Oryzias latipes: one gene and its partners. The protein of the gene in region 1 interacts with the protein of each later gene in a pairwise test. Links are inferred from orthologs where the notes say so. Each region holds a gene or a part of one and is shown on either strand. Other genes may lie near its edges. The genes, in order: exosc8, dusp23, poldip3, exosc10, otud4 and transcription factor AP-4.

What was found.
Region 2: the proteins of exosc8 (region 1) and dusp23 interact in binary tests that used the Homo sapiens proteins (3 or more experiments, as listed by UniProt). The two-hybrid records come from large-scale screens. The link is inferred for Oryzias latipes from reciprocal best matches to the Homo sapiens genes EXOSC8 and DUSP23.
Region 3: the proteins of exosc8 (region 1) and poldip3 interact in a two-hybrid assay, tested with the Homo sapiens proteins (2 studies listed by BioGRID). The link is inferred for Oryzias latipes from reciprocal best matches to the Homo sapiens genes EXOSC8 and POLDIP3.
Region 4: the proteins of exosc8 (region 1) and exosc10 interact in binary tests that used the Homo sapiens proteins (3 or more experiments, as listed by UniProt). The link is inferred for Oryzias latipes from reciprocal best matches to the Homo sapiens genes EXOSC8 and EXOSC10.
Region 5: the proteins of exosc8 (region 1) and otud4 interact in binary tests that used the Homo sapiens proteins (3 or more experiments, as listed by UniProt). The two-hybrid records come from large-scale screens. The link is inferred for Oryzias latipes from reciprocal best matches to the Homo sapiens genes EXOSC8 and OTUD4.
Region 6: the proteins of exosc8 (region 1) and transcription factor AP-4 interact in binary tests that used the Homo sapiens proteins (3 or more experiments, as listed by UniProt). The two-hybrid records come from large-scale screens. The link is inferred for Oryzias latipes from reciprocal best matches to the Homo sapiens genes EXOSC8 and TFAP4.

Annotation. Positions count from the first base shown.
Region 1 is NC_019872.2:10,272,755-10,276,817, forward strand, and holds exosc8 (exosome complex component RRP43), read left to right. Parts: upstream 1-1,263; 5' UTR 1,264-1,318; coding exon 1,319-1,335; intron 1,336-1,605; coding exon 1,606-1,642; intron 1,643-2,021; coding exon 2,022-2,085; intron 2,086-2,173; coding exon 2,174-2,247; intron 2,248-2,435; coding exon 2,436-2,481; intron 2,482-2,861; coding exon 2,862-2,967; intron 2,968-3,063; coding exon 3,064-3,109; intron 3,110-3,181; coding exon 3,182-3,278; intron 3,279-3,423; coding exon 3,424-3,544; intron 3,545-3,619; coding exon 3,620-3,726; intron 3,727-3,812; coding exon 3,813-3,931; 3' UTR 3,932-4,027; downstream 4,028-4,063. Other genes in the region: alg5 (dolichyl-phosphate beta-glucosyltransferase), read right to left, coding at 268-333. UniProt on the Homo sapiens protein: Non-catalytic component of the RNA exosome complex which has 3'->5' exoribonuclease activity and participates in a multitude of cellular RNA processing and degradation events.
Region 2 is NC_019880.2:1,140,717-1,144,736, forward strand, and holds dusp23 (dual specificity protein phosphatase 23), read right to left. Parts: upstream 2,533-4,020; 5' UTR 2,259-2,532; intron 1,670-2,258; 5' UTR 1,508-1,669; coding exon 1,238-1,507; intron 1,089-1,237; coding exon 903-1,088; 3' UTR 618-902; downstream 1-617. Other genes in the region: afadin, read left to right, coding at 1-217, 426-617. UniProt on the Homo sapiens protein: Protein phosphatase that mediates dephosphorylation of proteins phosphorylated on Tyr and Ser/Thr residues. In vitro, it can dephosphorylate p44-ERK1 (MAPK3) but not p54 SAPK-beta (MAPK10) in vitro. Able to enhance activation of JNK and p38 (MAPK14).
Region 3 is NC_019866.2:20,055,970-20,060,079, reverse strand, and holds the start of poldip3 (polymerase delta-interacting protein 3), read right to left. Parts: upstream 2,801-4,110; 5' UTR 2,744-2,800; coding exon 2,676-2,743; intron 810-2,675; coding exon 703-809; intron 625-702; coding exon 197-624; intron 1-196. Other genes in the region: protein FAM234B, read left to right, coding at 3,856-3,892. UniProt on the Homo sapiens protein: Is involved in regulation of translation. Is preferentially associated with CBC-bound spliced mRNA-protein complexes during the pioneer round of mRNA translation. Contributes to enhanced translational efficiency of spliced over nonspliced mRNAs.
Region 4 is NC_019865.2:9,473,456-9,476,955, reverse strand, and holds part of exosc10 (exosome component 10), read right to left. Parts: coding exon 3,499-3,500; intron 3,418-3,498; coding exon 3,349-3,417; intron 3,270-3,348; coding exon 3,164-3,269; intron 3,088-3,163; coding exon 3,014-3,087; intron 1-3,013. UniProt on the Homo sapiens protein: Catalytic component of the RNA exosome complex which has 3'->5' exoribonuclease activity and participates in a multitude of cellular RNA processing and degradation events.
Region 5 is NC_019876.2:3,217,331-3,221,410, reverse strand, and holds the start of otud4 (OTU domain-containing protein 4), read left to right. Parts: upstream 1-1,280; 5' UTR 1,281-1,744; coding exon 1,745-1,885; intron 1,886-2,089; coding exon 2,090-2,173; intron 2,174-4,080.
Region 6 is NC_019866.2:11,221,437-11,225,679, forward strand, and holds the start of transcription factor AP-4, read left to right. Parts: upstream 1-1,443; 5' UTR 1,444-1,748; coding exon 1,749-1,837; intron 1,838-3,241; exon of another isoform or gene 3,242-3,528; intron 3,529-4,176; coding exon 4,177-4,243.

The DNA of each region.
Region 1 (4,063 bases):
TTCTGCCTTTTTATTGTTTGTTTTACTCCGATTAAGGAGCTGTATTTACATAATAATTTCCCCCTCCATTGTATATTAATATTTCTATTTTGATATGACACGTTTAAATAAAAGAAAATGCAGCCATCATGCATACATACACACACACCCACACACACACACACAGAAACCATGGAGTACTAGTACATACATGTGAAAATCGCTATCTTACACGTGCTAAGAAGTTAGTTACATTACTAACAATGTTAAAACTATCCATACACTTACCACAATGAAACCAAGAGCCGCTAATGCGACGAGAACTTGAATAATTTCACAGATAAAGTCCATCATGTTTCCATAAGTCGCCCTACAGCTCCTAACTAACACCTACACCTGGCTGGCTGTAGCTAGCTTTTCTTCTTTGTCCCGTTCCGTATCCCAACCCTCTAACTTATAACAAAGGTGTAAACGAAAATATATGAAATATAAACACTGAATCTCTATGAGCCCATAACGCTTTCAAGCTCCACTTCCAATCAGAGCTGTACACAAAAGCAACACGGAAGTAAATTTTACTCCTCGACACATCATCAGTTTGAAGCAGAACTCCACATGACAGGCTGCGAGAAATGCATACTGCCACTTACAGGCGTGGGGTGGTACTGACACTAGCAGGTTTTTAGTTTGTTTGTTTGAACAACCAAACAACAGGTTTTGTTTTTCATGCATATATTTTATGATCATTGCTAACCCTAACGTTTGAAGCAGCAATGTCAAAGTCTGAAAGACAAAAAAAGAAAAGACTAACCAACAACTATAACTAAAAACTGAAAAAGAAAAATAATTAGATTAAAAATTGTCAAGCCTGTAAAAAAGGGTTAATGCAGTTTTATCATTTCTTTATGGTTTAATGTAGTTTAAAACCAAATTAATACAGGTGTTAACAAAATGAATATAATAGAAATAATATTTATATTAATATCTTTTTAAGATGACACAAAATCAACAAGACAGTAGTAATGAAATAAATAAATCCCCAAATACGAGAACAGTTTAAAACTTGAAGGAAAATCTGGAAGAAAAAAAACAAAAAACAATAAAACATGAATGGTAAATTATTAAAAGCTTAAAGTAGCACTTTCTTTATTAGTTACTTATATTTTTGGAAATTGGATTTGGGTACGCCAAAAAAATAATACAGTAAAAAGCGGATCTTTATCGTCCCTAAATTAAAAGAAGAAGAAGAAAAAAGTGTTCAGGTTCAGCACAGCATGGACGAGGTTTTTTCCCCATTGCGGCTGCCGTAGCACAAACCCACGTGTTGTACCAAAACATCATGGCGGCTGGATTCAAGTCAGTATCTGAAAGTTGTTCAGGTTTTATGTAATTTACGGCGTTTTTTTCGTTTAAATTAACTTTTTAACTTTACATAAAGAAAATGAATTATTTGCTGTACTTTAAATCAAAGTGGAGAAATCACAAAGTCTAGGTTATGTCCGTTAGTAAATTGGGTTTCTATTTATTGCCGCTAAGAATTTATTTTTTATTTTATCAACATAACACTAAACGTACGTGATTTTGTACATGCATTTACCTTTTCTGTCTTCCCTCATGACTGTTTAGGACCGCTGAACCTCTGGAATATCATATGAGCTTTCTGGTTTGTCCAATTTTTTATTTATGTATTTTTTTATTAGATTGTCAAAATATGGCACACACACACATTCACATAACTACAACAGAAAGAAATAAAAAGGAAAAAAACGTTAAAATTGTAGTTCACAATACTAGGGATTGCCATACAACATGTGATCTTCAATAAAAATGGACAGTTTTATTGCGTTTTTGTTTTTCATTAATTTCAGGGAGTTGAAACATAAACAAATCTCTTAATGAAATGTATTAAATGGTTTGCTTTTTAAAAATCTGCTGTTATGAATTAAGAACTTTCCAGAAATTAATATTTCAACTTTACTGTAACGCTGTAATGTTACACTCATATCAATTTGAATCTAAAACTTTATTTATTTTCCCCATAGAAAGAGAACTGTCGACCAGATGGACGCGAGCTGTCTGAATTCAGAACCACGACATTGAATATAGGTGAATTGAAGCACCACAAAGTTGCAGTGTTTATGATACAAGCAAACAACAATCATTGAGCACTTTTCTCTTTTGGGTTTGTGTTCAGGGTCCATATCCACGGCAGACGGCTCTGCATTGGTGAAGCTGGGAAGCACAACAGTCATCTGTGGCATCAAAGCTGTGTGTTAACATGTTATTACACTGAAACTCACTCTTAATAATTTATTCCAGATGCCTTTGTTTTAAAAGGTGTACAGTTAAAAAATAAAACAGATCTATGTGAATATTTCTTAACCCCCCACCACTTCTTTCAGTGTTTGTACATTTAGCAAGTTGTTTCCTGTGTCATACATTGATCTATTCTGCAGGAATTGGCAAACCCTACAGTGGAAGCTCCTGGTAAAGGATATATTGGTAAGTTTTTATAGATAAAAATAGTTAAAGATACTTTATCGATGCCAACTTGTTAAATTTGTAGCAGTAGTGTGCAGACCTTAGCTTGTACAGAGAAGCAACTATCAAAAATCAATGATGAATGCAGCGTATCTCTGGCACAAAGATGAGTTAAACAGTCCTATGTCGTGGAACAGGAATGAGCTCCTTTAGCAGTCATCGTAGCAGCACTTGGAAAGGCACTCAACTGTCCATCCAGTACGGCAGGCAGAGGATGCTCAGGATTATCCATGATGGATACGAGTTTGTTCTATTTTTAGCTTCAAGGGTTGTCACTGAAAAGCACAAGTTTTTAAGTGGAAAAATAATCCCAATCATTGGACTTTTCCTGTTATTTATAGTCCCCAATGTAGACCTACCACCCCTCTGTTCCTCGCGATTTCGGCCAGGCCCGCCAGGAGAACAGGCCCAAGCTTCCAGCCAGTTTATCGCTGATGTCATCGAAAGGTTTGTCAGAATTAAAAACACTACAATCTCTTTACTCTCATCAGTTTATCTGCATTTCTCCCAATGGTTTTCACCAACTTCCATCCACCTTTGCAGCTCTGAAATAATCAAACCAGAGGACTTGTGCATCGACAGAGGAAAGGTAAATCCAGACTGATGCCGTTTGTTTTCACTGTTGGTTCACTAGCGGTGAGTCTATTTATCCTCTTTGCAGCTTTGCTGGGTGCTGTACTGTGACATCATGTGTCTGGATTATGATGGAAACATTCTGGATGCGTGCATCATTGCTCTGCTGGCTGCACTGAAGAACAGTACGTCATTGTTTCAGTAAAAAAAAAAAAAAAATAATTAAAGTTATTCTGTACATTTTAACCAACTAATCCGTGTTTTAAAATTGAAAATTGCCCCGAAAGGAGTCTATCAACAGGCTGATTTTGCATTTTTCACTTCCCACAGCTCGTCTCCCAAAGGTCACCGTCAACAAAGCGACATGCAAACCAGAGATAGATTTGAAAGAGCGACACGAGCTGCCGGTTCACAAACATCCAGTCGGCACCTCGTTTTGTATCTTCCAGGAGTACGTTTTAGATATTGTTGCATTTTCTGGGTTTGTTGAAAGCATGTGTACAAACCAAGCGTGCTCTTTGTGCAGCTCCATCCTGATTGTAGATCCCACCGCTGATGAGGAGAGTCTGTCCACATCGCGGCTCAGCGTGGTCACAGATGAGGAGGAACGACTCTGCTCTCTACACAAACCAGGTCAGACAGGCCGTGCAGTGCGCTTCCGGCGATCAACACAATAACTCCAATCATACGGAGCTGAAACCCGGTTCTTTGCGCCTCAGGTGGGACGTCCCTGTCAGCAGAAAAGCTCCAAACTTGCATCAACCGAGCAACAGCACGACAAAGAGAGATCCAGAAACTCATCGAGAAAGTTCTAAACAGCGTGAAGGCAGCACAATAAAGACACCCAGACCAAGACTTTTATCTAAAAGCTGTATTTTCACTGTCAATATATATGTTCTTTTTTTTTTAATAACAATAAAACTGCTGACAAAGACTGCTTAAAAAATTATTTCTCAATATTCAGAAACCT
Region 2 (4,020 bases), on another chromosome or scaffold:
GCTGAGGAAGCAGCAGAGGCTCCTGGCGGTGGAGCGGCTGCAGCAGGAAGTGGAGGAACTTCAGAAGAAGGAGCAGCGGACATCCCAGGAGAACGACCGACTCCGCCGGCTCAGCCTGGAGCTGCAGTTCCAGAGGAGACTGCAGGAGGCTCAGAGAGGGGAGGAGGAGGAGGAGGAAGAGGAGGAGATCCTGAAGAACGGGACGTCACAGGTCCAGGTGAAGATGGTCAACCTTTGAGGGTTTTCTGGTCGTCTTCACTTCCAGACCAAAAAAATCATTAAGTCAATAAAAATGAACAATTTAGAGCCTAATTCCAGTTTGATGCAACAAAACCAAGGAAAGTTTTCAAATCTCTAACGTGTTTGAGTTTCCTTCATCATTATGTCAAAGAGCTTCAACATGGATTCTGTCTGATGGTTCACAGCAGAACGGTTCTGATCCAAACAAAGACTGCGAGCGGAACCGGGAGGAAAATCCTCCAAATGAAGACGAAGCGACGTCAGGTGAGAACGGTTTAATGGGAACCGGCTTCAGAAACATGAACAACGTTCTGGTGTTTCTCTCAGGAACTGGACTGAAACAGAACAGAACCAACGACCCGACACCAGCAGAGTGAGTCCATGGAAACATCAGCACCACTGATCCTGAGTAAAAAACATTTTTTCAAAATAAAATTCAAGTTTTGTTTTCAGGAAGGAGAGACTGTGGAGGAGCTCGGCCCCGGAGAAGCTCCCCTTCAGGGAGCGTCAGCGCCTCTTCTCCCCGCCGTCCAGCGCATGAGTCCAGAGACCACAGCAGACGGACGGCGTTCGCCGCCTCTGACAGGACGTCTGAAACCCCAAACCAGAGCTCCGGGTCGGATCACCTGTTCTCAGGGGGCCGTCCTTCATCGTAGAGGAGGTCACTTGATGCGCTGATAGAACTGGACCACCGCCTTCTCCTGCTCCGTGGTTTCGATGGACCCGGCTCTCATCCTGCGGATCTCGTTGATGGCGTCGATCCCAGAAATCTTGCGGCTCTTCACAAGGTAGCAGGCCAGCATGGTGCCGGTTCTGCCAAAGCCGTGCATGCAGTGGACGGCCACGCCCTGACGACCAAACACACAACCACTGAGCACGGCACACGCCCAGCTACGCTTTGTTTACACACATTAAACATTCGGGTTCCACCAGACGGAGGAAGGGAACGCCTTTATGCGGTCACAGAGAACGAAGAGACAGACAGGAACCTCCTTACCTCCTTCTTGGCGTTGGCCTCCTCCACGATGGACAGAAATCGATCGATCTGGGCCGGCGATGGAGGAGTGAAGTCGACGATCTTAATGTGGTGAAGCTGCAACTCTGGAAAGGCCTCGTGGTTGGGAGGTTTCCTCTCGCAGAGGCAGACCAGGTGTTTGATGCCGTTGTCTGAGAGATACCGGTAATCGCACGGCATCCGGGGCATGGCCAGCCCGGCCAGCCGCCCCGCTTCCACCCAGGAGAAGTTTTGAGGAGGAGACGAGGCCATGAGGCTGAGAGGAGGGAGGAGGAACCGAGAGGCAGCTGCAGGAAGCCGTCCGTGTCCGTGGTCGGCCTTTCCTTCAGCGCTTCCGGGAAATGATCCTGAACTGTTGGGAGGAATCTGCTGATAAACATTTGGACTTTGCTTTCCAGGCACACAATCTCAGCTCTGCCAGGTTTACAGAAAAAAGGAACACATTTTTGTGGAGATGTTTCCATTTTTCAAAGTTTAGGCCATAAAAGTCTGTTTATGACTGACAGTATCTTAAATCTGCAGAACTGCTGCTGTGAAGTATATGATAAAAGAATCAACAAAAATATTCGGAATAACCTAAAGAAGACATTTATAGGACTGTACCGGAAAATACATTAAGAAGAAAACTTAAATCTTACTGACTGTAAAACTGTTTTTAGAAGGTTGAAACAGTCAACTGCTGCCTCATTAAGCAAAATTAGTTCGTTTTTAAGTCAACAGACTGAGTTATGTTAAAAGTGTAATGGGATTTTTGTCTGTGTCCGCAGAATTTAACTTCTCAAATGGCATTATACAAAGAATAAATAACATTTTAAATCCACCTTTGATATAAAAATCATGAAACCCGATGAGAATGACTGGATAGCATGTAGCTAACAGTTAGCTTGTAAACTCGCTAGCATAAATCGCTGCTTGTGGAGGCTGACAGACATGAAGTCAGACAGAAAAACATCCTCATTTATTTAACAAACCTTAATTATGTTCTTTAAATGAAGTTACTTACAGCTGGAGTGAAGAAAAGTTGAGCTGCTAACCGCTGGGGAAGCTAGCTGTAAACCTCCGCCTCAGTGCAACAGCGGAGGGTTACCAAGAAAGTTTCCCGTCGAGACAGGTTCACACAGGTTAACCAGAGTGGGCAGTGCCCGTATGTTGGTTGCTATGGATACCATTATTATTTAAAGGCGTTGTACGATGACTTAGTACAGATTTAGAGATTTAGTCCGCCTGGAAACAACTTTTTACCATCACAGTACATCTAGTCTTTGAGCTTCATATTAGACGATCGCACCAAGGCTGTATAAGTCAGGATGGCCGAGCGGTCTAAGGCGCTGCGTTCAGGTCGCAGTCTCCCCTGGAGGCGTGGGTTCGAATCCCACTTCTGACATTACATTTTCTCCATATATGAAAACCTTTTTATAAATTCACTTCCGTCATTATTGACCTGAAATTTGATTTGTTTTTACCATTCAACTGTTACTATTAAAGAGGGTTTCATATGTGCTCAGAAAACCCACCAAGGAGCACATTCCCTGCACGTAATTCTTCTTTGACTGCATTATGAAGATTTCTACATTTTCTGTCTTTTGAATAAGCTTGTTTTTAAGCATAAACAATAAAATCATTTAAATTTCTAACACAGTTGAAAAGTATAGTGGACAGGTTCGATTCCCTCTTGTAATTACCTTCTTTTAATCCCTGCAAATAAGCTTTTGTGGGCTTTAAATGATTAGAATGTCATAAATGTATTCCTGAATTTTCCTTTGTATTGAAATTCCTTTTTCTATGGAGCCCCAAATTGTTCATAATTTAAAAGATAAAAGTGACCTCGTGCAATCACACAATCAACCAACAAACCCCTCATAAATTCATGAAAAGGTCATGAAATTGTGAAAAACCTGCACATATATTTTGAATTAGCCATTATATTTTTAAATTATTTCATTTTGCTTTAAAAACCTTGTCCTTATTTTAAAACAGCATTTTAAAACATTCATTTTTAACAAGGTCATATTTATTTTATTTTTATTATGAGCAATTTAGAGCTCCATACATAACAGACATGACCAGCAGATGGCAGCAAACGCATTTTTACCAAATATTCAGACTGATTTCATGAACATGTGTAGAAACATCTATGACAAAAGTTAAAACACAAAGTCTGTGGATTCCTGTGAAGAACATGAAGAAAAAAACCTGTACATGTTTAAAATAGAAGGAAATGTCTGCTTGTTGAAGCAAGAATCACCAACGTAAAGTAGCGACATTCCTTCCTCAGAAAAGTTTTCTCCTGCTGTGCAGCGACGCCGTTTTCCTCTGAAGGACGATCAAAAGGTCTTTTTCTCCTTCAACCTTCTCCACTTTTAACTTCCTGTTGCACATGTTTGACATGAAATGTAAGATTCTTGACTTTTCTTCCATCTCTTTGATCGTTAGACTTCTTAAGTTTTTCTCAGGTCATCAAGCTAAAATGTTAACATTTGATGACGTATATTTTTAGACAGAAGAAACTCGTTTTGGTTTTGTTTTTAGCCCACTTTAAGCTGCTTAAAGCACGAGGAGTGCTTTTTATAAATAACGTTTGATTTGATTTGCATTTTTCTGCAGCATTTGTAACTATTTTCATATTGATTCATGTTCTCAGTCGTATGCATCCTTTTTACATTTAGTACACAGAACGATTTCCTGTTTGTCTGGTTTGTTGATTGATTAATTGATTGATGGGTTTGATTTAAGAGGGGGTGGGAAGCCCATCTATAAAGCCCCAT
Region 3 (4,110 bases), on another chromosome or scaffold:
ATCAGCAATGTCCCATAGTATCTACCTTTTCCAGTTTCTGTAAAGAAGAAAAAAAAAAAGGTTCCAGAAAAGTAAAAGTAATTTCCAGAAATCAAAATGAAATGTAAAAAAAAGAGGAAACCATTGAGTGATTTGTGGGAACCCCTGATGTCACTTTGCTTCAAATCTGCTCACGATCTAAACAACGGCCCCTCACCTGTATGGTCTTGGTAATTTTTAGAGGTGGAGCCATGGCTGATTGTGTCGGCGTTCCTCCAAGGCTCCTCTTGAGGCTCAGCCTGTCGCGAGCATCCATCACTCTCCCATTGTTGCTCAGCTGCGGTGCAGTGATGCCTCTTGCACTCAGTCCTTGTACAGCAGAGCTAAACTGCCGCGCATTGATGCCAGGAAAATGACTGACGGTTTGAATCTGTATGGGAGGAACCAGAGTTTTGCTCTGCAGCTGCTGTGAAATCACTGCTTTTAGCGTCGTTTGTGCAGGGATGCTGGAGAGCGTCTGCCCCTGCTTTCTGGATGTGATCATCTGCCGGGCGTCCTGCACAGCTGATGCACCTCCCCTGCCCTGAATTTTAAAACGGGCGTCTTTTTGGACAAGTTTTTCTCTGGCATCTTTTACTTGAAAACCTGGAATGAAAATGTTTGTTTTAGAGGATCTGGGAAAAAACATTTCATCCAAGAATCAAACATTAAGATGAGCTTTACCCTTTGTTGTTCCCACGCCAAGCCGCTGTCTCACATCACTTGTTCCAATGATTTGTCTGGCATCAAAATTTTTCCCATCCCCTCCTAAACCCCGTCCAAATGGAGGCCTGAGGACAAGATGAGCCATGTCAACAAACAGCACAACCTAGAAATGACAATCCCACACAAGTGTACTACATTTGTTTTGTATTTTATATTTTAAATAGTATCTTTATGTCAGATCCTGACTTTTATATATTATTTTAACCCCAATGACAATAAAGAAAGTTCAGATTCTGATTAACCGCAACAATAGGAAAATAAGGTTAGAATGAATAAGGACCAAAAAAAAATTTTTTCACCAAAAAAAAGGTTGTTTGCAAATAACGAGTGGGCAGGCTTCATCTGTTCTGCATCCCTTTACACATGACCATACGCCTGCTATATGTGCATATACACCAGAGGAAGAAACAGTTGCTACTAATTGGTGTGCAAGTGAATCGTGCCATATTACAAATAATTAGTAATAATATAGTAATAATTTTAATCTTTTGAAATTCGAAAATATTTCAAAAATACATTAGAAACCCTATAAATGTAATAAAATAAATCAAAACCAATTAAGCAATATTTTAGATTGATGACAACAACTAAAGTTAACTATTATATGGGATGTAAAAAAAAAGCTTTCTTTAAAATGGTCTATATTTGGCTCCAATCACTCTCCAATCATCTTTCCATCTATTGTAAAAGCCTTCCCAATCGTCTTTTAGTAACGATTATGTTGTAATTAGCCAAAATCAAATAACCTGTGTCATTTTCTGGGACATCCTTTTCTCCAGAGCAGCAGTAGTTTATTAGAAATTCCCCTATGAGTTGTGTTCTGGACTGTTGGCTGGAAGTAAGCCAGGCCCCACTTCCCATCATCAGCTTCTTTACACTCACTTCCACTAAGTTACAGCCTTTCACACACCCCGGTGTATCAAAAATGGTAAGCAAAATTGAAGCTACCCAGTCGTACAGTTTTGAGCCAGGAGCCAGCTTGGATGAAGATAAACGAAGACGTACATGGATGTAGTTGTCTACAAGTGGATGCATCAGAATGGAGCACAGCAGGGAGCTTGTGGCCCACTACGACACTGCAACAACCTTTGTTTGTCTGCTCCTGATTCACAACAATTTAAATATAAAAATCCTCATAAATGCAGCAACTTAAGCTTAATTTTCTTAATATATGTCCTTTATCATCAGATAAAATAAATACCACAAGAGAATGAAACACATCAGAAGAAAAAAATTCATTGGAGAAAGGAAAAGGGAATAACTTTTTAGACAAAAAGACATCACTGACCAAACTTACACGAAATACTAGTGGTTGGAAAAAAGCAATTGTGAAAGTAAAATTAATAGCTACTTTTATATATCTTTTGGCGTAAATTATTTCTATACGTTAGCCAAACCTTGCTAACGTGTCCGAGGCTACCCAGCTTAAAGCTACTTTACTTATTTACTTTGCTTGCGTAAGGCCATCCAGCACCAACTGAGCAATCAAACAACACGGATTTATACCTAGGAACCAGGTAAGTAAACAAGAGCCCATTCGTTAAACAGTACTGCATGCCTTAAGAGTTATGAGGAGAAACCCCGCTTCGCTATAAGCACAACTACTACCAAACTACACACATCCACCAAACATAAGAGCGAAACAATTCTTTTCATTTTTACGTTTTCTTATAACTACCAAAACTTAACAAGTGTTTTTTCTGGTTAAATAACCTCTAAGTTATTACCAAACGTGAGATTAACATCTTATTATCCGAAGGCCCACAGCAATAATGCTACTTTAGCTTAGCGTTCACGATGCGAGCTGGAGCTTTCGGTGCTCACTGGTCGACAAACAGCTTTCAATGTGCATGCTGCGTTTACACATTTCAATATTTGTTTAGTATCATAAACTTCTATTTTTTTCTTTACTTTAAAGTGTTTGTAGGTACCGTTTAACAGGAACTTTGAGGTTAATACCGCGCCGACGTATGACTTCATCCAAAGAAACGTCTGCCATCTTCTTCTTCTTGCTTGACTATGCGCATGCGCCACTTCAAGACAAAGTTGTCCGCAAGGAGTACTACGGGGAATGAGTTAGGCCAAAATTCATGCCAAATATTGTTTATAACATCAAAATTTCAAACTAAATTTAATTGTACTTAATGAAAACTTCCTTTATAATTTAGTGAATATATTTTAAGATACATTTTGCTGAAGTATAGTGTACAGGAAAGAACCTAAAGTACAAATACCTTAAGCACAAATCCCACACGCCCAAATAGTTTACCCACAAACCATTGCGCTGTTGCATTGAAATCCAATGCATGTGTATCTAAAGTTGTTCTTGACTACGGAATGTATTAGATCGTCGATCATATTGATGAGCTATTATTATATAACATTTTAAGTCGATGTTAAGTCTGTGTTTACATTGGTAGCATGAAAACCATGAGTGAGAGTTCTTTGGCACTGTGTCTATACTGCTGTGAGGACGTTGTCTCAGTATGCCTTAAACTGATGAGTAAGGAAAATAACGATGCGGGGTGACGCCCGTATCCTCGTTCACAATACGAGAGGAATTTTTGACGGGGCACAGGCCTGCCTGCTGAGGTGACTTGCTTACTTCGCGAGATGCCTCGTGGGACTGGGGTCTGCCCTACCCTTCCCCAAATGTAAAATATAACTACTCATATCACCCGACCCGGAACCCTATTAAACACATTATTTTCATAATTACTCAATACATGTACTTTAAATCGAAGATGCAGACACATTGATGATTCATGATAATTAACAATCCATCTAACACTGGAAATAGTTGAGGGAAATGGTAATTTTCTTTCAAGTTATGATTGTTTCATTTATTGACTTTCTTTTAACTAGTTTTAACTGGTTTACAATTTTTAATGTAAATCCATTTTTAAAAATGAGATTATGACGTATTCAATGTACCCCCCCCCCCAATTTTGTGTTTTTTGTAAAACAATTATTATCTCTGCCCGCACAATGCCTGCGAGGGTATTTAACTCAATTTCCCATGATGCACCGTGCTTGGAACAGATCAGATGTGCACAGCACAGTAGCTGCCTGTCACAGCTCCCTCGCAACGGAACCTGGCGGACAGGACAAATGGCAGCGGCTCTGTCCCGCGCCCTCAAACTGCCCGGTAAGATGATGCTGGACTCCAACGGATCGTCAGCAAAGCGGTCCGGTTACGTGTTTGAATGACAGACGCTAGGCGCGTGCCGCTTTTAGCTTTAAATCCATACAACCGACTTTTTGAATCCCCACGTCACGTTCTACCGAAATATCCCTCGTTTTTATGTCGTCATTCTATGATTCTACCATGAAGGTCAGTTTCTCGCGGGGGGGTTACCGGTCAGT
Region 4 (3,500 bases), on another chromosome or scaffold:
ACACAAGTGGACCATAGAGAAACATTTAAAATGTTAGAAAACTCTTCCAGACCACAAATTTCAGGTGGGAATTCGGGTTTTCTGATTTTTTTTGTTTTTTTTATTTGTTAAATGCTGCTTAGCCAAGTTTGTTTCATCGTAATGGGTTAATTTTTTAAAAAATATTTTCGTTTGTGCATCTGTAAAACACTCAGAACAGTCACTGTGAATAAAACGTTTTGGAAAAAAAAAATCAGGCTGTTATTCTCTTCCTAATCTAATTCGGAAGCTTTGTGAGCTACATCTCACCTTTGAGGTTTGCCTTCATGTAACAGGTGGCAAAACCAACAACAAGGACAACAAAACAAGTGCTGCCTGTGAACAGATTTCTGAGCTATTAGTGAATCTGTGTTTTTGAAAAACCAGCCATGAGAGCCGAACGGCAAAGAGGTGCTAGCTGAAAGTACTAGTGTGCTAACAGCCAATATTTGCAAGTGGCTGACAGGTGGCACACTGTATGTACCCTGGTTGTTATAATTTACAAGCTTTATTGGTTCTTTTGGGTAGTTTTAATTAGGTAGCCTTGACAAGGGAGCCGGTGATTCAGACAATCTGTACAGCCGAGTCGGCTGCATCCATGTTTTTTCATAATGTTGGTCAACCTTCCATTCTGTTCTTATTTTGGCTTGTTTTTTTAACTAAATCATCTACACTTCTTTCTCTTTTAGGACACAGGTATTCTTGAAAGCACTAAATAAAATTGGTCCCGTCTTCTGCTGGCGTCCATCACATACGTCATCGGCTATGGCCCTTCTTTGGTTTCCTAGATGAGTGTTTTTCAGCCAGTGTGCCGCGGTACACATGTATGCCATGAAAGATCATCATGTATGCAATGGGAAGTTATCTAATTTCACCTAAATCAGTGTAAAAAGCATTCACTATTGCAATGACATCAGCTCTGTGTTCATCAAACTTTCAGGCTTCAACAGAGTTTTAGTGTCACAAAAACAAAAAAAATAACATTACGAGATTTGAAGTAAAATATTTAAATATTTTGTGGGAACAAATTCCTACTGTGTGGGAACAAATTATTATTTTGTGGGAAAAAAAATATTTTTTTTTACCCATGTCAGGTGACTTATTAGCAAATCAAACGAAGGTTTTTTCTGAGTTTTAGTTTATATCACACCGAAAAAAAACTGCAATTTAAAAATCGAGGTTTGAACCTTTGGGAAAGTGAATCGATGCATCCTTACTGAACGCTGCCGCAGACGGAAGTGAGTGTGTGTCTGGACCAGTATTTTTCAACTTTTTCGAGCAAAGGCACACTTTATCCTTGACAAAAAATCCCGCGGCACACCAGCATCCAAAATTGAAAAATGGAGAAACTCTATAGTCTGTTTGATGTACAGTTTCTCTGCAATCTCATATGCACTGTTGTGATAATTGTGGCAGAAAAAGCTGGAAGTTGCAGCTGTTTCTTCTAAAAGATGTAATAAAAGTTAAGTTAGTTTTCAGTAATTATTTTGAACTAAATTATTTGAAAATTTACCCTGGTAGTTGTTTTTCCCTTCAGTTTACTGACATGCAATTTTAATTAACCCCACAAAAAACGAAATATATTCTTTCTAAATAGTGATTTAGAAAGAATGACATATAAAATAATCCAGACCTCATTAGAAAAGTGTTTCAGTTAGAAAGATGACTTGGACCAAACTCTGGGATGTTTGGATGTTAATAAACACAAACCTTGAAGGAGAACTAAACTGTTGACCTCTGATTTCATCAAGAAGATTTAAAAACGGTTTGATGTGGGTTCGTTGTGGTTTCAAGACGTTTAACAGGGAGGACTCACTGAGACGCTGTCACTTTAACCCAATGCATCATGGGAGGTGTAGTGTGAAACAGACGCCGATCGCAGACACTCTCTGAGCTTCATTGTTTTGTTCACTTGCTCCACGGTCTGACAGCAGATCGTGCAGAAAGCTACACCGCTTAAGATGAGCTTTAGCTGGTATTTTTGTTGGAACTGAGAGACTTTATGAGCTAAATCGGGACAAGGAAGTCTGGACTTTAACCACTTCTGATTGGTCAGACTGATGACGTATGATTAAGCCTCCAAGAATGATTGGTGGAGACAGTTAAAGGGGTGGGACTTTTCCGAAAACAGAGCTGAAGCTACGGCTAAATCACGGTACCGTCATTCTTAGCAAAATGTCTTTAAAAGAATCAAATAAACACAAAGTAAAAGTCTTTTACGATCTTTCACATTCCTAACTACTCAGTTTTATCAGGGCCTGTTTGGATGAACACAGAGCTGATATCCTGGAGATGGGAAATGTTTTTAGATCAGTTAATGGGTAGTTTCCCACGGCACACCTGACCATCTCCCACGGCACACTGGTTGAAAAACACTGGTCTGGACAGTAACACCTGTGACATTCAAGTGCAGCTGCCAAATTTTCTGATTTATGACCACCAGGATTATCTGTAGCAGTTGGACAAAAAGCTTTGCTCTGTGGTAAAAGGCTTAACTGAAGTGTTAAACTGGAAAGAAAAGAAATCAGAAAAGTTTAATATGACAGCGGGGGTGCGAGTAACTAACTAAAAGGAAGCCAAGTAATACCCCCTGAGGAATGGAACTAGCAGCAGGAGGCTGCTAGTTCCTAGAAAAGAGGCTTTGTTACTCAAGAGGAACAAAAATGTGTCCAATGAATCTGAGACACTTTTATAACACCCAGCCCACATGCTGTACATTTTTCCTCCTCTATAGGATAGAATATTTAACATGGCCCCCATTCTGTGTTTCTGCAGACCCGTTCATCTGATGGGGACTCACTGTCTTGGGAAAATATAAAGTATCACACAGAGTTAAAGTAGTCATAAACCTACTGTCCTTTCAACGCTGTTGCGGGCCCTTGAGTGAATCCAGCTAAAAGAATATGCCATGCCTTCCAACACAGACCTGAGGTGCTTGTCTGAAGTTCAAAAGAACAAAATGAACGGAGAAACGAGGAAATGTAAAAAGACTTACTGCTGCCTGCTGACGCACAGTGGCAACATTCTGAAGAGACTCCTGGTAGCTTTGTTTAGTCTTCGTTCTTTTCTCTGAGAGAATTCAACAGATAAAAAGTGAGGAAACAATGCTTGAAAAGGTAATGTGTAGAAAAGAAAAGCCAATTACCTGAGGCTTTCTTTGCCTGTTGCTTTGCTTCCTCTTTGGCTTTTTGCTTAGCCTCTAACTCTTTTTGCTGCTGTTCAATGCTCTGCAGTTTCCACCTTTTGCTGATCTGTCAGGGTGCCAAAGTAAGCAAAGCACATTAAAAACAACAGCGGTCAATATATTTCACAAAAAAGCTCTTCAGGTACCTCAAATATTTTGGAGGATGGGTCAAACTTGGCATTCTTGTTGACATGCACATCGGTGGAAGGTAAATACTGGAATAAGAAGCAATAAATTATTATTCTGCCAAAGCACAAATAAAGAATTGTGAAGGTTAAGCTCTTGACATTTCCTACCA
Region 5 (4,080 bases), on another chromosome or scaffold:
CTCTGTGGCAGATTTCCCACCACTTTCCCCCCCGACGCTCGCGGTTTCCTCTGCGCTGACCCAAAAAGAGGAGCATGGAGTAAAACCTGCTGCTGGTTTCAGTCCCTGCTGGTTTGCAGGCGTGTAAACATAAATCAAGTGGGAAACTAAAGTCAACACAACCAATCAAAGCCCGAATGAGAGCGCTGCAGGTGTGGAACATCAGGAACCAATGAGAGCCCTGCAGATGTGGAACATCAGGACCCGATGTTTTTACATCAACCTTCAGTCCGTCACAGCATCAACATCTGAACCCAACGGGACACAAGACGGAAATGCAAACGAGATGAAGACCCCTAAACTTAAACAGTTGGTAGAGCACCGCCCCCTTGTGGTGAGAAGAGGAGCCTACAGCCTCTCCCAGCATTTTTCTGCTTCAAAATGCTCCACAAGGCTCCCCGATGAAAGCAGCAGCAGACCAGAGGTCACGTCCCAGACAATGTCAGCCAACACCCAGACGGTCTGCCTCACAGCGCCACGAACGCTCGGCAGCCAAAATCAATGCTGCTGCGGCGCACAGAGGTGATGAGGATGAGGATGAGAAGGCTTACTGGCCCTTTGATGGAAACAAGACCAATAAGAACCAAAAGGAAATTTCTTGATGCTTAACTTTTACTCTTTTTTTTTAATTATCAGACATTTGTCTGCTGGATGAGACTTAAGGCTCATGGTGACACGTTTGAAAACGTTGAAAGGGAAGAAAAAAAGACTAAATATATTTGTAATTTTTCCAAAAAAAACAGACAGAAAAAAAGAAGGGAAATGAACTTTGAATTAAAACTTTAGATCCATTTATTATTATTAGTAGTAGTAAAAGTAATAGCTGTGATAGAAGTAAAAAATTATTTTTTAATGATTTGGTGTTTCTGCTTTTCTGTGTTTTGACTTTAAGTGACATGTTTAGTAAATCAAGGAAACTAAGTCAATACATTTTAATATAACAGACTTTAAGAGGTTACAACACACCCAAGGTCGCTCTTTAAAGTTAATTTTCACGTTTTTCATTCGTTTTTCTTACTGTTTGCATGTTTTTATGATCCCTTCTTGTTGATGCACCTCTCACCATCCTGTGAGGGGTCACCACGGCGAATCAGCTTTCATGGATTCGCACAGGGGAGAGATTTTACGCCGGATGCCCTGCACGCCTATTTTTGAGACTTTTATTTTGGTAAGCGTCACCGGATGTTTCAGAGTTGTGAAGTGGTTTTACTTTAAACTCATTTCAAAAGCTGTTGCATTCTAAATTGAGTGGTTATTTTTTATAGAATTACAAAATCGGACGTTATTTTTCTTATTTTTTTGAACAAAATCTTTTTAAGTGTTTATTTTATGTGATATTCTTCGCTGGTTGGGCTTTTATTTCGTGGATAAACCGGAAGTTGGGCGTGTCACTGCGCAGTGCTTTACTCGGCAGAGCAAAAAGGGGGCGTGTCGTTAGCCGTTAGCCCCCCCGATGCTAACCTCGCAGCATTAAGTTTCACTTTCTGCTGGTCGGGAAAACCCGCAGTTCGAAACGCCGCTTCCTCGGAAACGAAACCTGCGGCGGTCGGAGTCGCGTTTGACCGCTTCCGCCTCCCAAATGTCCGCCTTGGAGCTCGCGCAGCGGCCACATTCGGAGCTTTGAGCCCGCGGCGCGTGAAAGTTTTGCCCCGCCGGCGCAGGCGGCGTCGTTCAGCCGCTAGCTTCGGCGGCTAACCCCGCTAGCATGGAGAGCTGCGGAAACATGTCGAGCAGCGAGGAGAGGAGTGTGGAGAAATCCATGGATGTCTACCTGAAGTCGATCGGTCTGCACCGGAAAAAGATCGCCAAAGACGGCTCGTGCCTGTTCCGGGCTGTGGCGGAGCAGGTAAAGTTTGGAAAAATAAAACTAGTTTGGCTAAATAATAATAATAGCAGCTGGAATTGTTATGCTAACAATATGAAGAAACGTCCACTGGAACTTGAAACACTGACGTTTATGTACTTTTTTGTAATAATGTTTGCGGCAGTAAAACGTATTTTAAGCCGTGAAAATGACGCCTGTCTTCCTGTGACCTTTGACCCCGTCCAGGTGCTGCACTGCCAGAGCCTCCACCGTGAGGTTCGAGCTAAATGCGTGGACTTCCTGAAGCAGAACAGAGACAGCTATGAGGCGGTACGTGACCCGCAGCCCCCCAGGCTGCTGCTGGGCTTTGGTTTAGCCGAGTGTGACGTCACAGCTACTGACAGTGAAGGAAAAAACACTGTAAATTTAAAAAACAACTACAGACTTTTAAGACAGCTTTGAACTGTAAAGTGCAGATTGTAAACTGAAATAATTCGCACCATAAGTTCCCTCCTCTGACGCCGTCGTCGTGGTGATGATGCTCTCCCAAAGTTTGGGACATCAGACGGCGGAGGATGCAGGCGGCGCCGCCATGTCCATTATGTTCTAGTAGCCAATGGGCTCAAAGCCCCGCCCCCACGTCAACTGAGGATCAACTCCCAAAATTCAGAACTAAATTGAGGATAAAAAAATACAAAGCAACAGATGTTATTGAAAAAAAACAGTTTTTTTAAATCTAGTAACACTTTTAGGTTCATTCTTGGTTTTTTCTGTTCAAGTATTTCATTACTTTTACATTTTCACAAGTTTACCACGTTGAGTTTAAAAATGTTTTTAAATGTAAATAAAAATCTATTTTTGATCACTTTTGACCCCAAAGCTGAATCCTGCAGTAAAACGGCATAAATGCACATTTTAGCCTCCAAGAATGTGTCTAGAATGAAAAATATGCAGTTATGAATTCACAATAATATTTGTGACCATCAGGTCTGTTTCCCTCTGACTGTCTGATGTTTACTTTTCCTCAAATATTGAAAAACAGGAAAGAAAGAAAATAAAAGTGTTAGTGACACAATATAAAAGAAGAAAAATGAACAAATATACCAGAATAAAGTCAGACATGAAAAAAATCAAAATGTTACTAAAATAAAGCTAAAGAGGGTCATAAAATCAAAGGTCTAATTTTATAAGAATAAATGCATAAAATGATGAGAGTAAAGCAGTGACTTGATGCTTCATTAGTCATCGTTTTTCAGGGAAAAAGTCGTTCTTTTTTTTAAAATAAAATGTTTTGTTAATGATCATTAAACCTGTTTAGTTTATGTACGGCTGAATCAGCTTCTCGTTTCTGTCAAATTCCTTTTAATAACTATATATTTTTAAAGTGTTACTTTTTCTTGTAGAATTCAGTCTTGTTAATTTAATACATTTACGATTTTATTCTCGTAAAGGTTTTACCGTATCTCATATACTTATAAAAAGTTGTTCTTGTTAAATTTAGCTTTTTTCAATTTTTTCCCTATAATTTTATGATCTTATTCTCATCACATTTTGAATTATTTCTTATCATTTTGCTACTTTGGTTTGATGATATTTTGACTTTTATTCATATATTTTTTATGACTTTATTTCTATAATTTAACAACTTTAAGGACAAACGTTGGCATTTTTTAAAATTAATTTTGGGATTTTGTTCTCATCAAACGTTGACTATTTTCTTTTATAATATTATAATTTTTTCCCCTAATTTACCAACTTTATTTTCATAAATCTAATAAATTTTCTGTTTTAAAAAACTTTAGACATTTTCCTTTAACTTTACACATTTATTGCTGTTAAATGTTGACATTTTTTATGTTGTTTTTGGTTTTATTGTCATATTTTCATTTTCTTCTCTGGTGGCCCAAAAACTCCGTCACAGCATTTTCAGATCTCACGTTTTTCACTTTGAAATGATGCCGCTAAACGCCTCACATGAAATAAAAATGATTCTTCTGTCTGACGATCCAAATGTATCATAATTAGAGACGGAGAGCATCAGGAAGTCATTGAGAACGGCGGTAAAAAGCCTATCGTTGAGTTTTAAACCGTTTAAAGGAAAAGAAAGTCCAAATCTTCTGGTTTAGGAGTCTTGAATAAAAGTTTTCTGGTTCTGAAAACCTCCTCAGTACATTTCTGCTGTTTGCAAAGATCCTTAAACGTTTGTTAAAGTTGTTTTTGATTGGATGTCAGCCTGA
Region 6 (4,243 bases), on another chromosome or scaffold:
ACTATGGTCCTTGTTTTACTATGTTTTTAACTTTTCATTCAGTAGTACTTTTAGCAGGCCTTGTTAATATTTACTACCTTTGTGATTATTTCTGTGAGAAGGGCTGTAGAAATGAAGATATTCTATTCTATTATTGCTTTCTCCAGAAAGACTATCTTTAATGAGGAAATGAAAAGCAACTTAAAAGTTGAAAAACACATCTTTATTCATATTGCAAAGATTTGGATGACAGAACATCATAACATCATCAGAACGTCTCTTTAAAGGTAGAATTACATTGTTATTATTATTATTAATAGTAGTAGTAGTAGTAATTTAAATCTTGGCAGGATAGTCATGTTGTGACTATCTTCACTAAACTGTACTTATAAATGGTTTACGGATTTTAAAATGTGTTTGCCTTTATTTAAGTGTAAACATTATCCATGCACCCTGCAGCTGACCTATGTTCATTCTTTTTCATCTTACCCACAAAAAAGATTCATGTTGATGTGTGATATAAGACTGATGTGTTTAGAATTCTATAAAAGCTACAAATCTCGTGAGGCACCATGTAACCTAACAGTTTATCGAATTTCTTCCTTTTTTTTAATTATTTTACCTTCTTAGTTTTGATTACAGAAATTACTTTTTATTATTCTGAGTCAAATTTCTCGAAGAATAAAACATTTACTGTGTTTTCTATGTTTTTATTAATACCATTAAGGGTGCCTTTCCTACATTATTATGCCTGAAAGTCCTTCTCTGACGTAAACGCCTTCGTATTTCTGCAGCAGCTGCTGCTGCGTTCACGTTTCCGGATGCCGCTCGAAATTCTCAGCTCCCATCTTGAGCCTGCGCCGAGGGCGCGCCGCTGCATCACACACACACATTCGCTCAATTAGATTTTAATGACTCTTCGCAGCCAAAATGGTGAAGTACATGCGTGTGCTGCGTGTGCCGCCGGCTTGTCCCCCGAAACCCCTCCCCCTGCCGCGCGCGGCGCCGCCAGCTCGTCAGCTGATCTCTGTTGTTCGATTATCGCAGCTGTTCGAGTGTCCGCCCCTGCGTGGTCCCGCTCTAACGGCGTAATCAGGGCGCAGGTGACACTCAAAGTCATTTCTACCGCACATTAATGAGTAATTATGAAAAGATCAAACTTATTTCACCAAAATTTAATTTCCTCTAAAGGATTTAAACCGTGGAAAAAGAAAAACGTGTAAAAAGAAAAACAAATGTCCATGAAAGCATTTAGTCATAAATATGATGTATCTATTAGTCTATTAAAACAACGTTTATTCATTTTTCATAACGCGCGTGCGTTCTTCACGCGGCGTTAGTGCGATAAATAGTCCTTTGTTTACACGCAGTCCCCCCTCTCTGCGGAAGGAGCTTTTTTTTCTAGTGCGGTGTGTGACTCCTACCAGCTGTTTCCCGCCTTGAAAGCCATCCGATCAGCTGCGCGCACACACACATCTACACACACGGCCATGCAGGGGGAGAAAGCAAGGGGGAGGGAGCGAGAAAAAGAGATGTAGAGCGCCACACACACAACGAGGGAACCCCATCAGCTGGAAGTCGAGTAACATTACAACTCTCAGCAACCTCAAAGAAGTGTATCAGTCCGACCAGGGATTTGTCTTTTGACTATACCGGCGGGGGACTATTTTTTCTTCCCAGCGTTTTGCTTTTTTTTTTCAAAGGATACTATATAATTTTATTTTATTTTTTACCGGGGGAGGGGGGGACCAAACTGGCGAGAAGGGAGCATGGAGTATTTCATGGTACCAGCTCAGAAGGTGCCCTCGCTGCAACATTTTCGGAAAACGGAGAAGGAGGTGATTGGTGGTCTCTGCAGGTGTGTACACATGCGCTTCAAATTATTTATTTTTTTGTACGCGTGAAGATAGTGCGCGCACTTAGCCATGTTGTTAGGGCTGGGCAACGTGCCTGATCTGATGTGTTATTGTGTATACGACCCTCTCCCGGGGACACGAGGGGGTGAATGTGTTTCAAAAGCAGGGATTATCATCTCGCCGGACACCTGGAGGTTCTCGCCCTGATTTAAGTGTCCCTTATGTGGAATAATTTTGCGCGTTTACCACTGAAATCGAAGTATTTTGTAGCTAACAAACATTAACCACGTGGTTCGTGCACACCACGCTGCTACTCCCCTCTAGAGCGCATCCCTCAACTATTTATTTACCCTCTAATAATCTTTTAGTGCCGCCTAAATGTGCTGGTGTATCCTACAAACACGAGATATTGGACCAGCGACCGCATTGTTGTCGGAAAGTGCTGATTTACGACGCCCTCGTCGTGGCGGTTGCCAGTTTCGCTCCAAGCAAGCCGAAGTTATTGTGGGTAGTGCGGCCATGCTTGTGGCTTCAGCTAAAAGTGAAGGGTTTGCCGTTGGTATCGTTATGATTCCTAGACTACTGCCCGCTCTTTTAGTGCAAATTGGCAATTCTTGTTACGGCCTTGTTACTTTAATAGGTGGTGATTGAGTTTGTGTAGCAGCGCGTCCTGTTCGCTGCCTCCACTGCGTCTTTTTTCATCCCGTAACTACCTCTGCCATGCTGCCTGCCGCATTGTTGTAATGGCGGAGGACAAGAAAAGTCTGCTCGGAGCGGGAGGTTGTGGGGAACATTCCTGAGAACGGGCACTATTGAAGGCCTTCAAAGACAGATTTCCCCCCACATGCGTCCGGCAAAGGGCATTTGTCGTTCGCGGGGAGGCATGAAAATTAAAACTGGTGTTATTAATAAGGGGGTGTGTATGTCGCGGAAGGCCCGTCGATACGTCCGCAGCCCAGTGTGTAGAGGGAGGCGGAGGGATCTTTAGCTGTTGCTGGCAGAGCGCGGGAATTGTGGGTAATGGAGTCTTTTATTTTCAATCCGTGAAGTACCCGTGCGGAGATTTGCCAAAAGACCGGGGGGGGGGGGGGGGGATAAATTTATACACGTTATATTTATAATTTGTGCCATTTGTACTTGAACAATGATGCGGTGGGTTTTGACTATTAATGTTATCTCAACATTTGTAATTACAAAGGGTATTTCAAAGCACCAAACTGTAGTCTTTATCCTTTCCTTGAATTTTTCCTAAATATTTTCGTTTTTTAGATAAAATAAATAAATAAAGTTTAATTACATTTGAATACTGCCCTGACTGGTATCACTATTTGGTCACAAAAATTTCCGAAAGTAGTCATCTTGTGACAAATTTAACACATTTTTTCAAAAGTGTTTCATTTTTTTAATAAAAGTAATATAAATTGTATCTTTTATGACCCTTTGTTTGGTACATTGAAACTTTTCTCTAATTTTACCATCACACGTGTCTAAGCCCAGTTTTTTTTCTCTCGTTCTGACTGAATTAATTAATTGGATGTGCTGGTGCAGGACTCCTGCATGTGTTTGTATCGTTGCACACTTAGCATACTCAAATACAGTTTTTTACATCTGTGTGCGTACAATTGTTCCCTGTGTTTGCATTGAGGCAGCTGAGTCACTGCAGATAAGAGTGCAGCAGAATATAGTCCCTGAGGTTGGTTAATAGAGGAATTAGAATATTTCATTCAAACCGTTCCAATCCTTTCTTTGTGGGATTGGAGGATTTTTCTCCACAGTTTAACTGTTTAATCAACTTTGCATGACCCTATTTGAATGCCCAAAGCTGTATGTCGGACCTCCCTGGAAAGACACGATCCACATGATTTCAACATGTTTGCTGCTTTAACCCTTGTGCTACCTTAGATGACCCCACCCTTACATTGACATGTTCTCCCTACCATGACAAAGGTGGATAAAGGTGGAGAGATTTAATGCAATCCACGGAAACCAGGGAAGATCACAAACCATTGAAGAAAAAAGGTTCAGCGCACTGTCTAGTGGGTCTAGATGACCCAACTCCCAACGTTAAAGTGCCTAGGATAGCACAAGGGTTACGACACGCTTGGGTAAGGTCTGGAAGGCCTTTCCGACAATTTTCAGTACTACTCCTCAGATCTGAAATGAAGTTTAGGTGGTATTTAAAAACTAAAACAACTCATGCACACAACATTTTTCATCAAAGTTGATTGATGATATTAAATACAATGAATAGCCTTACAATAGTCCATCCTGGCTTTTTTTTATACATTTTTTAAAACTTTCAATATCAATTAATAACTTTGTTCTTTATTCCTTCTTCCAGCCTGGCCAACATTCCTCTGACCCCAGAAACAGCCCGGGACCAAGAGAGGCGAATTCGCAGAGAGATC